Arabidopsis thaliana: one gene and its partners. The protein of the gene in region 2 interacts with the protein of the main gene of each other region in a pairwise test. Each region holds a gene or a part of one and is shown on either strand. Other genes may lie near its edges.

Region 1 (4,735 bases), on a different chromosome or scaffold from region 2:
CACGCTTTTTGTTTTACTTCAAAGACAATTCTTGATTCTTGATCTCCCTTTTATTTAGGACCAAAACTCTGTATTCGTCAAACCTGTTCGAATTGTTCCATTTCCATCGAACTATAAGAGTTGTCTTTTTGTCTCTCTTTCTTGAATTGTTCTCTTTGATTCTTTTGCACATCTCTTTTTTTTTTCCTTTAAAGCCTAAAGAGTAAAGACAATCTGGTAATTGGCCCAAAAGCCTATATAGCATTGTTGAACCAAATATAAAACTGCACGGTTGAGTAGGGTTAGGGCTGGTTCAAAATCTCAGCCTTAAATTCACTTCATTCAGGTTGTACCAAAATGTAAGTATTTGTAGACAGAGATGACTTTAACCATTGGAAATGATCAGTCCATCAAAAAAATATAAAAGACCAAGACCGGCGTCTAATGAACTACAACGAACAAAACCAAAGCAGTACTACGTTTTTATTTTATCTATTTATTTCACACATACCACCTAAATAGCTAAACGATCAATAACTTCAAAATGATCACACACATACAACAAACAAAATTAGAGAACAAATTCTCTCAAGTTAACTTTTATTTTATTGTTTAAACCACTAAATACCCTTAATAGCCCATGGCCAAACCACTAAATAACCTTGTAGCCCATATCCAAACAACTCTCTTTTCCTTTCACATTCGCCGGTGTTAATGTGTATTGGTAACCCCAATTCATAACAAAACAAAGACGGGCGCTAAACCCTAAAACTAATTAAGGCTCATCGCTATATCAACATCTTATTCTTTGGTTTAACCACTTAATTGCACAACCACCAAAAAAAGGATCCAAAACTAGTTTTACTGAGAGCTATTCTTGAGATCAATGACGACCACACTTATATTATCACTGCTTTGTCTACCCAAAGCCAACCGCGTTAGCAACGTTGCAGCCAATACACTCCTTGAAGGATTTTGTTCTCCGTCATTGTCGTCTTCTTGAGCCATTCTATTTAAATCAAGGCTCGAGGGAGTTTCTTCGCGGAGACAAAACCTAGCTATGTCACAAGCTAGCTGACTCGAGAGTACATCCCAAAGCCCATCGCTTGCTAATACTAAGCATTCATCTCCAGATTCCCTTCTCATGAATGTTACTTCTGGTTCCCATGCTACCATTGGTTTTAGATACCTGTCCCCTGCTCCATGAATTGTAACACAACATTAGGAACAATTTCCATACTAAAACTTCATGTTTAGTCTAATAAATTGTATAACCGAAATAAATTTTAAGTTGGTTAAATGATCAAACAATGAAAGATACAAAGATAAGACACATTTAAATACTTTTGAAGTTAAGAAAAATACTTCTCCCGTTCTAATCCATGAGATGGTTTGTATGAATGCCCACATTTTTTATTTTCGTAAAATGATTCAATTATTTTTGTTTTCTAGTTAATGCTGCAAATATAATTTTTTTTGTTTTTTTTTTTTTTTGTCAAATGTTAAACTATTAGGACCAATGTAAAATTTCTAGTTAACATTTTGACAAAAAAAAGAGAGTAAAATTTACATATTTTTTTTTTAAAGGAACAATTATAAAACATCTTTGAAAATAGAATTAGAATTAATCAACAAAAGAACTCGCACCAAATGAAACCAATCCATAGTACCTTAGTTAGTAAACTTAAAACCCTAAACCCCAAATCCGAAATGATTATTATTGCCCTTATAGGCTCTAGTTCCTTGCCATCTTCAACACTATCAACTAAAATCATCTTTTACTACAATATGAGAATTGAGAAAGGTATACCTATGGCTCTGGACGTGGCTAGAATTCCTTCAACTCTAGCTCCATCCACTACTAAAACTCGACCACCAGCTGCTTCAATCCTCGCACGCTCGTCTGGTCTATCCGGCTGCAAAAAACTCAACAACTTCAAAATAGAAACTCCAATATTCTCAAACCTTTACAAGAACACCACCTTGTGATCGTTACTCAGAGGAATAGCCATTCCATTTCGACACAACACCGCACGTGAGTCACCAGTATTGGCTACAATAATATGATCGTGCGTCAAAACCGCAGTGACCGCCGTTGAACCCGAAATCGCAGCCTCCCTCGGATCACAGTTACACAACGGCACACTAGTCCCACACACGCATGTACTCGTTGCCATCTCATCCATCCTCTTGAAACTCCGTTTCATCACGCCCCGCCATTTCCTCTCCACGACATCGTTTTCGCTTCCTTCTTCCTCCTCTTCGAGGTTTTGCTCTAGCTCCTCCTTGACAAACGTGTGCATAGTCGTGCTGCACAATGTTGACACCTGTCCACGCATCACATCAGCATCTTTATATTAAATGACCAAACCACCCCTGGTTAATTTTCTTACCTGAGAACCGCCGTGGCCATCGTATACCGCAAAGAAATGAACCGGTCTTTGCCGGTTAACTTCCGGTTTGCACAAATTCGGTTTAACAGTAACCGAATCCTCCATCTTACGAGATCTTCCCATAACCGAAACTATACCGTACAACGGCTCATCCTCCGTTTCTTCTCCCTTCCACACCGGCGCTTCCGATTTTTGGCAAGAAGATGCCGCCGGAGGTGCCAAAAAGCCCCCGATATCCGCCGGAAGACCACCGATCTCTGACCTCCGAGCTTGTTTCCTCAATGGAACGTCAAAACTTGAGTAAACTTCCATGTCCGTCCGATCACGATTCCTAGACGAACTAGGTTCGCCGAAAACCGCCGCTTGTCTCCGCATCTCAATTCTCCGACGACGACGTTCACGGCATTTAGTCGGAGAAACGTCGTCTCCACGTCCGGTTGAAATTGTTCTGTAGATTTCAGTCATCTTTTCAAAATTCGTTTCGGTGGATCAAGAGAGCACCGCTTTATATACATGGGGCCGAGAGAAAGAGAGAACACTTTGAACATAAAGAAGCTTACGAGGAAGACAGAACACGTGTCGGTGTTTCGATGTATTCGCGTGTTAGGCTCAGGTGTTAAGTTGTTGTCCACGTGGAGACGCCTTCGGTTTTTGTTAAACCGCATCCGGTTTTGGGTTCATGACGATAGTCGTTTAGCTAGGCTCTTGTGTCTTAACTCCTTTCTTCTTCTCCTTGCTTGAATTTGAACCCATGAGCCGGAGCTGATCTCTCAAACCATGTGAACTACAAGGATCAGGCTGGTTCTGGACTAATTCATCAAATATTATAGAAAATGAAAAACTCATGATATACGAAATATTGCATCTTGTTTCCTTTTGCTTTCAATATGAAAACATTAATGTCAAAACAATGACTATAAATGTAACAATATTGAAAAGGTTTATATCAATTTTCTTATTTTTAAAAAGAATTAAATTTTGAAAACCATCTTTTTGAAAAGTGAAAACAAACAATTTCTACTATATTAAATCTGGAATAACATTTACTGATCGTTCCAAATCTCGAGTAGTATTTTCTATAAAACCTGAACGGTAAGTATACTTAAACCAAATCATGGGATTAACCATAACGTTGGAGATATCTTCGGAGAAAAAGGTTGACGAATCGTCAATCGTCACTAGTCACTCTTTTTCGGTGCAACACATGTCACATAGTGATCATCTACAACTTCTCGATTCCTCAGGTTGAGCGACTTGTACCAATTAAACACGTAGCATAGTTATGCCAGTTTAGTCCATCAGTGCCATATGCCTTTTATTCTTTATTTGGTTTCCTACAAATGAAGAAAAACGGCGATATATGTATATTTTATGCTAACAGATTTGATTTGTAATTAATGTCTACTCAAATAAGCAACTGTACAAGATACAAAGAATCATATCATTATTTATTCAAATACTCAAGATCTACGAAAACCGTAATAAATGTTTACAAACTGTCTTTGAAATATATTAAAGTGGGTGAACTGAAATATGTGGATCGATCAATCCTAATATTTTGCTATATTGATGAGAATTAATACGAGTCGAATAGATCATAACAGTTAGGGTGGTTCTCTCTACATGAATGATATGGTTTAGCTAAAAACTAAAACAAACAAAATATTAAGCTAATATAAATGTGTAAGTTATCTAAAAGGAAGATAATAATGAAAAAGCTTGTCTAAAATTCTTAAAAAATGATTCAAACACACTTTACCTTAAATTTGTGATTAGTTGGGACTGGGATATAGTTTTAATCATTGGTGGGTTGGGTGGTTAGTTTTAGGTTTTAATGATTGAAAACTTAACTTGCCGATATAGTGATTTTGTTTTTTTTTTTATGTGAAGAAAATAAAAACTAGTGAGCTTAATTTCAATCCCTGGCTGTTTTAGTAGGTTATTATATATAAACCATATATGATAGAAATGTTATCTTCGTACATCAATGTTTGTTTAAATTGTTTATTCAGTTTTTTATGATCTTCTTGCGGAAATTTGGTTTAATAATTTTGCGTGTGGTTAGAATTACTATATGAAGGGAAGTTGCTTACCAAAAATCCTATGATCAATTCAGAAAAAGTTGGAAAATAATGAGAAAGAATAGTGTTTGTAGTGAAAATACTTTGTGTGGGGTCCAAATCTCCTGCAAAAAGAAACTAATGTGTAGAAGCATGCATGGAAACACCAATAAATTTTTCTGAAGACTCTATGGCACTAAAGTCAGTTAATTTGATCACCAAATATGACTGAAAACTATAAAGAATCGGAGAACAACAAAGAAAATAGGTTTCATTTCATGGCATGGAGTCAAGGGAAATATT
Region 2 (2,833 bases):
GGAATGAGAACTGAATTCCCTAGAAAGCTCATGCTTTAGAATACGGCTTTAGCTATTAGTTTTGCAACATATTCTGTGTTTGATTCTTTTATGGTGTGTACATGTCTGACAAAGATTGCTTTGTCTCTGAACAGGTGAAGTTGCAGTTCTTGTTGAAAGTAAGGTTTAAGCACAAGAGATGAGCCTGAACCAAACAAGAAGACGTCACTTCTGTTAACTAAATGTTTTTTTGGGAAATCGAATCCAACACGAAGACTTAACTTTTGTAACTAAATGTCTTTTGATAAATCGAATCCAACATGTAGTCACAGATTTAACTCTCTGGCGTTGTAGATGTTTCTGGTTTTAAAACAGCGTACACTACATTTTGTTATGCTTTTTCTCAGTAATGACACTTCTTAAGACTTGACACTTGTTCAGATCTGATGTTGTACCTATGAAAGATCATCGAAGAAGTGGTTATTCTCAAAGAGAAAATGGTTGCATGATTCGATCTCTACTATGAAAAATGTCGAAAAGTCGATACAATAGAAAGATTGTAAGGTTCCATCTCTGACAAAGTAGTCACTTGTACTCAAACAGACCAAGGAAAATTGACCTCCTGGTAGTAATTAAGTGATTCATTTGAGCTACAAGGAGACTCATTATGATCCATGGACCGCTCATTGTCGCGTGTAGTACCACTCATTGGGTCGAAGTCTGAGTCCAAGATTCCTTGGTGAAACCAATTGTGAAGATCTTGTGGCATTTGTTGAGCAAGAACCTTTTCTTGTTGCTTCATATTACAACCAGGATCATCTTGAGGGAACCTTCTCGAAGCTTCTTCTCTAAGTAGAACCACTTGTGCTTGTAAACTAACAACCTTAAGAACAAAGTCAGTGAAGTTACTTGTAAGTACACTAGAGATGATGAAGCAAAAGCAAAAAAAAATTATGTATACATTTCCGAAGAAAAAGTATAATACCTGTTGTTGGAGGGAGAAGATTTGGGAGACGCAGCCGTAAATAGGATCATGGAGACGAGAGTGAGCCTCGTAAGAGATGGTTCGTACGGCGTCACATCGGTCATGATCAGGGAGATGAGAAATGAGCTTAGAGAAGTTGCTAGCTCCAAACACTTTGTGAATGGCTGCAAAATTAGAAGATCCTTCTTCGTAGCAAAAGTATGGTGCAAATACACAACCCTCTACACATTTCCTACGCAAGAACTTGCATCCTCCACATGGTGAGCCTAAACCTCCCATTCTCAAAACGTAATTATAATCTATTGATATTAACCAACTATTACTATCTTGTAGGAATATTAATACTTCATTACTTATACTCTTCTAGTGACGATTATATAGTGCACGAGTGTTTATGGTAAAGGACTAAGGTGGGATTTATGATAACTCAACTTGTTATTTTACATATTTGTCTCTCTAATGGCTTACAATTACAAGATTGCAGCTTTTATATTTTCCCTCAAGTTTATATTGTAAAACATCTCTCTAATATTCAATAACTCGTTGTAATATATTATTGAGATTAAACTCTTAAGGTGGAGAATATTCTTAAGAAAATATTGAGAGAACCATATTAATATTAAGATCCGATCAAATGAGAGATTTGGTTGACGTATAGGACAAAACAATGAGTAAACATGAACCAAACCCAAGTTGCTTTTTGTTGTGGTTTTAGCTTTTTTTTAATTCATAACTAATTTACTCTCTTATTTTATTTAGAAAAATAAATTAGAGTTTACTTTTAGTGTTTGTTTAGTTGAAAATTTACATGTACTTGTGAAATTATGTTAAGATTGTTGTCATTATTGCTTAATTTGGAAAACAATAGTTTAAGATTTAACAATGCTCAACATATACACCACATAAGTGATTGAGATGTGTGTAGAATAAGAACAAAGGCATTTGATATTAGTAGTATATGAGACAAGTTATTTCTATATCTCGATTTAAATATTTTAAAATGCTCTCAGTTTCGATCAAACTTTACAGACTAGAAAAATAGAGAGACCCATGATTATCCAGCCCACATATTAATCATGAATCATGATTAACATCAAAAATATTCCAAAATAATTGATCAAGTACAAAAGTTAAATTATTCGATAATAATGAACAACTGATAGTGGATTTATGACTTAATGTTGGTTTAGTGGAGATTAAAAATAGTAAGAAAAATTTGAGTTTGAAGCTTTATTTTTGTTTTCTTATCTATGTTAAGGATTTCGGGTGTCTTTAGATATCCTAACTTGTGCCTAGAGTTTGCGGAAAAGACGGAGTTTTGGTCAAAGAAGGACCGGGGAACAAAGAAATAACAGAACCAGTACGGCCATGGGATCGGTCTCACCAATGACTGATCTAGGACTCCTCAAACAACCCTCATAAGCCACATTGGCCGTGCCCATCAGTCAAATGCAGATCCAATATCCCTGGAGCCAACTAAATAACCCGCATCGATCAACCATCATGGTCATAGAGCCACCGATCTAGCCAACCAAACCATCCGACCAGTAGCTACATCGTTCTGCCATATCGGTCATATTTTTTTATCGATCCTAATCACAACCCATCTGATCCAGAAGCTGCATTGATCCCAACATCGGCCAATGAAACCCAAACATTATACTTACCCTTTGCAAATCCTATTCTACTGGGAAAATAATATAGTGCTCATCTTTTAATTGATGAAACCCGAACATTGCATTTTGAGAAATAGTATGCAGTCGCAAAAGCAAAAGCAAAAGCATATTCAAATGTAGAAAGAAAATATAACATCCTTGTAATTCTTTAACTAATTAGCAATCTTCAATGATTCACATCATTTTCAACAGA
Region 3 (4,043 bases), on a different chromosome or scaffold from region 2:
AACAGAAATTAAAAGGTATGCACGGGTTCGAACTATGAGGGAGCAAGTGAAGGAAAAGAGGGAACTACAGCAAGGTATGCACGAGGAAGAAGAAGAAGAAGAAGAAGAAGAAGAAGAAGAAGAAGAAGAAGAAGAGTGAAGGAAAAGAGAGAAAAAGGCCATTGGGCCCAGAGGTGAACAAGGCCCAATTAAGGGTGGGTCTTGGTTATTAACAAATTTCTAATTAGATTAAGTACAAGAACTACATAATGGTTGTGTTGTTGTAAGAAAACGATTAAGGAAAGTAAGAAGTAAAAAGAGTTTTCCAACACCTTTTGCTTCTTCATCAAACATTGGATTTTTTTCATGTTATAATCTCAACGATATAAGATTTCAACTGTACATATATACTTTCAAATTTTGATAATATTGTGGCCTCTCGAGGTCGAGTTCATGATCGGGTTATGCATAAACAATTGAACGGTGATTTGTTTGAACGTTGAATAAATATGATACAAATTTAATAAGAAACAAACTAGCAATTAATCGTTATATATATATAATTAAATTGTTGGTAACAGAATTAAACATTTAAACATGTTATTCATCTCATTCAAGACAAATTAAACAAATACATTCAAACGGATAACTTTGATAGTTAACAACTCGATGGAAATTTTACAGACATTGAGAATGTGTGATACATCAACATTATGTATTTTTCTTACAATTTTCGCAGGTAATAGCTCACTAGTTAGTGATTATACACATCAAGCATACATGCTAACGACCTAGATAATCTCGTACGTATACGGACTAAATAGTTAATCTAGAAATTTAGGAGTTACTGCAAAAAAACTAATCCTAGGAGGCAGAGTTTCCAACGGATAAAAAGTCGAAGAATGGAACATGACTTTCATGTTTGGTGTCCGAGTCACTGCGTTTGCTTTGACCTGAATCTTGATCTATAATCTCGCTCTTGTTTGAATCTGTGTTTACTTGTAGAAAATTGTAGAACTCCATAGGCTTTTTACTCTGATTTGCTGCGATCCAAACGATAAAAGAAGGACGAAATTATAAGCTATGTGGATTGCAACTATGTTAAATATATAGAGATGACTTCATGTAATGACGGAAACAATATATGATGATGAGTACAAGAAAAAACATGCAACTAATTTTGTCACATAATTTTGAAGTTCATTAGAAAAATGATTATGCAAATGAAAAAGTCGGCTAAACTCTTTGAAAAGTAAAAAAATTCGGCTAAACTTCATTTCAAAATTTTGGAACATATATACCTTTTTCATCAATAATCCGTGCAAGACTCATATACATGCAAACACATCTATAGAAAATGGATCCTTCTCCATCATTTTGAGTTTACCTTTGTGATTTAAAGCGATCTTTCCGGTGAAAAACTCCTTTAGGAAGTGAAGATGATTGATATGAGAGAATTTGTAAGGGAAATTTATAAAGTCTGCTGGAAATATTTTCTTCCGATCATCGGAACTATAATTATGATTATAACCACCAGAACTCATCATGATTTGTTCACTCGCCATTAAAGAAGAAGACGAAGTCGTCGAGGGAAGAAGACGAGGCTTAGAGGTTTGGCGTGTGCGACGAGCCATGATGACGTGCCAATGGTTCTTGACGGCGTTATCAGTTCTTCCAGGGAAAAGCCTTGCGATGATGGACCATCTGTTCCCATGGATCCGATGAGCCGCTAAAAGTCTTTCTTCTTCTTCTTCCGTGAAAGGGTTTCGGTTGATCCTTGGATCCAATTGATTAAACCATCTCAATCTACAACTCTTACCTGCATATATACACCAATACAATTAATTCATATGTATATATATATCAAAGTATCAAAATTAACCCTAGCTAGTTTTGTATATATGGACAAACCCTAGAAGATATCAATTACCAGAGCGACCAGGAAGCTTGAGAGCAATGGCGTTCCAATTGTGAGGACCGTATTGTTCGACAAGATCCTTGAGCTTCTCGTCTTCAGCTGGTCTCCAATGGCCTCGGCTGCACATGATCATTTTTCTTCTTCACGCCGATCTATTTAATTACGTAATTAACTAAGTATACCGATCCAAACCAATACAAGAACAAAGAAAAAGAAAAACACACAGATTCTATATCAATAACGCACGCAAAAAATTTGTTGTGTTCATGTATTTTATGTACATATATAAGAAATTAAAACCCTAAGTTTTTTTTTTCTTGGGAAAAGGTTGGGGAAGATGGGTATGTGGGAACAAGAAGAAAGCTGAAGAGCACCTGCACGTATATATATACATAGTCTATATTATTGCGAGTATATATATAATATACATTTTATGTCTTCTTCTTTTTTTTCGTCTAATATACATTTTATGTCTTTACCAAAAGAAAATATATATATATATATATATATATACATTTTATATGATGAAAATTAAAATAAAATAAAACAAAATCCGTTAGAGAGTCGGGAGGGTTTGGACGGACCTCTCTACCGGCGACTGATGCCAACGTCTTCCCTAACCAACAAAACACCCCCTTCTACGTAATCTACCTTTTTCTTTCCTTTATTTTACAACTAGGATTTTATTTAGTTATAATAATTATAGAATATATAATATCGTAGAAAATAAGAGCATAGACTAGAGATTGCTTGGTGTGGGCAGGATTTCGTTAGCCTCTCAACGTCTCTTCGTATAGTATTAATTTAAGGTTTGTTGTTTCTAAGTTCTAACCTACACCCGCTACTTCAAGCCACCAATACTCATCTACGTTTCTGTAATCTTGGCAAGCTACGTATTCACATATAATAAATATCGATATCCTACACTGACAAAAATTTATTTCATGTATCAAATATCGTCCATAATAATTAAAGATAAATATTTTCAGACCTAATCAACGTTTTTTCTAAGCCTTAATTAGGAATATATCGTCCAAAGTGGAGACAATACAACTAACTTTTTCTTTGCAATTTTACAATGGGTATTTTCTTATAAACTGTAAATAAAATAGAAGGTGTATACAATTGAATCAAGTGATGAAATATATTAGCAAAAATTTTATTCTCATGTGGTCAATCATTTTAGTCGTAAACAAATAAAAAAGGTGGTCAAATATTTGGTCTCCAAGCACGTCTCTCTTGTCCAAAACGGAACTTTATAGGTTTCGGACATTCAGGACTAAAAACAGAATCAGTTACATTGAATGTTCCGTGGGACTAATTAGAACATTTCTTCAAAAAAAAAAAATCTGTAAGCAAAAACCAAAATAATTGCTGGTAAAGTTTAGTAGGAAAATAAAATAAAACAGAGAGTTAGTTGGGAAAGAAAGCCAATAATCAACTTCATTTGTTCTATCGGTAGTTAGGAGAGAAGCCTTCTTCAGTTTCGACTTTCGAACCTATCATAACTAAACTTAACCTATTTTCGTCGCAAAATGACCTATTTCAACTAAACCGGATCCTGATTACACTAAACCGGTCAAATATTATATACCAGTGGGCTTTTTATTTTACAACTGTATGGGTACTTCATCACCAAAGGCTGACAGACCAACTGTGTCATGTCTTTAGACTTCTTCAGCAAGAGTTCCTGAGACTTGAACCTGTTACCAGAACTGAACGATGAACCGACACTGTTCTAGCATCATAATGTTTCAAGAATCTCACATCAAACTCGAGAATCAGAGAGCAAGAGCAGAAGATAAACCATAATAGTCATGAACCATAAGGAAAACAAGCCTCTCACATTGCTAAGGATCATACAAAGTTCGGCTCTATCTCTATGTATGCAATGGTCAATACAATGACTTTAAACGAACACGTTAAACATATTGTGAGCTGTGAGAGCCTTTTCAAAGAAACCAACATAACCATTAGACAATAGACCTGGATAGGTATCTTTGCTTTCGAAACCATGCTTATTGGTCCAGAATTAGAGAGACTGTGATGGATGAAATTTCACCAGGGATCATAGTCACGAAGAGCTCCTCTCTAGGCAACAGAATCATCGCACCACTGAAAATGGTTCTTTGTTTTAGTATGATGA

What was found.
Region 1: the proteins of LBD14 (region 2) and AHG1 interact in binary tests that used the Arabidopsis thaliana proteins (3 or more experiments, as listed by UniProt).
Region 3: the proteins of LBD14 (region 2) and MYB54 interact in binary tests that used the Arabidopsis thaliana proteins (3 or more experiments, as listed by UniProt).

What each region holds. Positions count from the first base shown.
Region 1 is NC_003076.8:21,025,018-21,029,752, reverse strand, and holds AHG1 (Protein phosphatase 2C family protein), read right to left. Parts: upstream 2,879-4,735; 5' UTR 2,838-2,878; coding exon 2,373-2,837; intron 2,307-2,372; coding exon 1,962-2,306; intron 1,896-1,961; coding exon 1,790-1,895; intron 1,176-1,789; coding exon 841-1,175; 3' UTR 565-840; downstream 1-564. UniProt on the Arabidopsis thaliana protein: Negative regulator of abscisic acid (ABA) responses during seed germination.
Region 2 is NC_003071.7:13,351,395-13,354,227, reverse strand, and holds LBD14 (LOB domain-containing protein 14), read right to left. Parts: upstream 1,312-2,833; 5' UTR 1,244-1,311; coding exon 965-1,243; intron 863-964; coding exon 575-862; 3' UTR 556-574; downstream 1-555. Other genes in the region: PARP1 (poly(ADP-ribose) polymerase 2), read left to right, coding at 135-182.
Region 3 is NC_003070.9:27,599,839-27,603,881, reverse strand, and holds MYB54 (myb domain protein 54), read right to left. Parts: upstream 2,290-4,043; 5' UTR 2,031-2,289; coding exon 1,910-2,030; intron 1,799-1,909; coding exon 1,367-1,798; coding exon of another isoform or gene 1,308-1,366; exon of another isoform or gene 1,023-1,307; coding exon 844-1,022; 3' UTR 565-843; downstream 1-564. UniProt on the Arabidopsis thaliana protein: Transcription factor that regulates secondary cell wall (SCW) biosynthesis, especially in interfascicular and xylary fibers.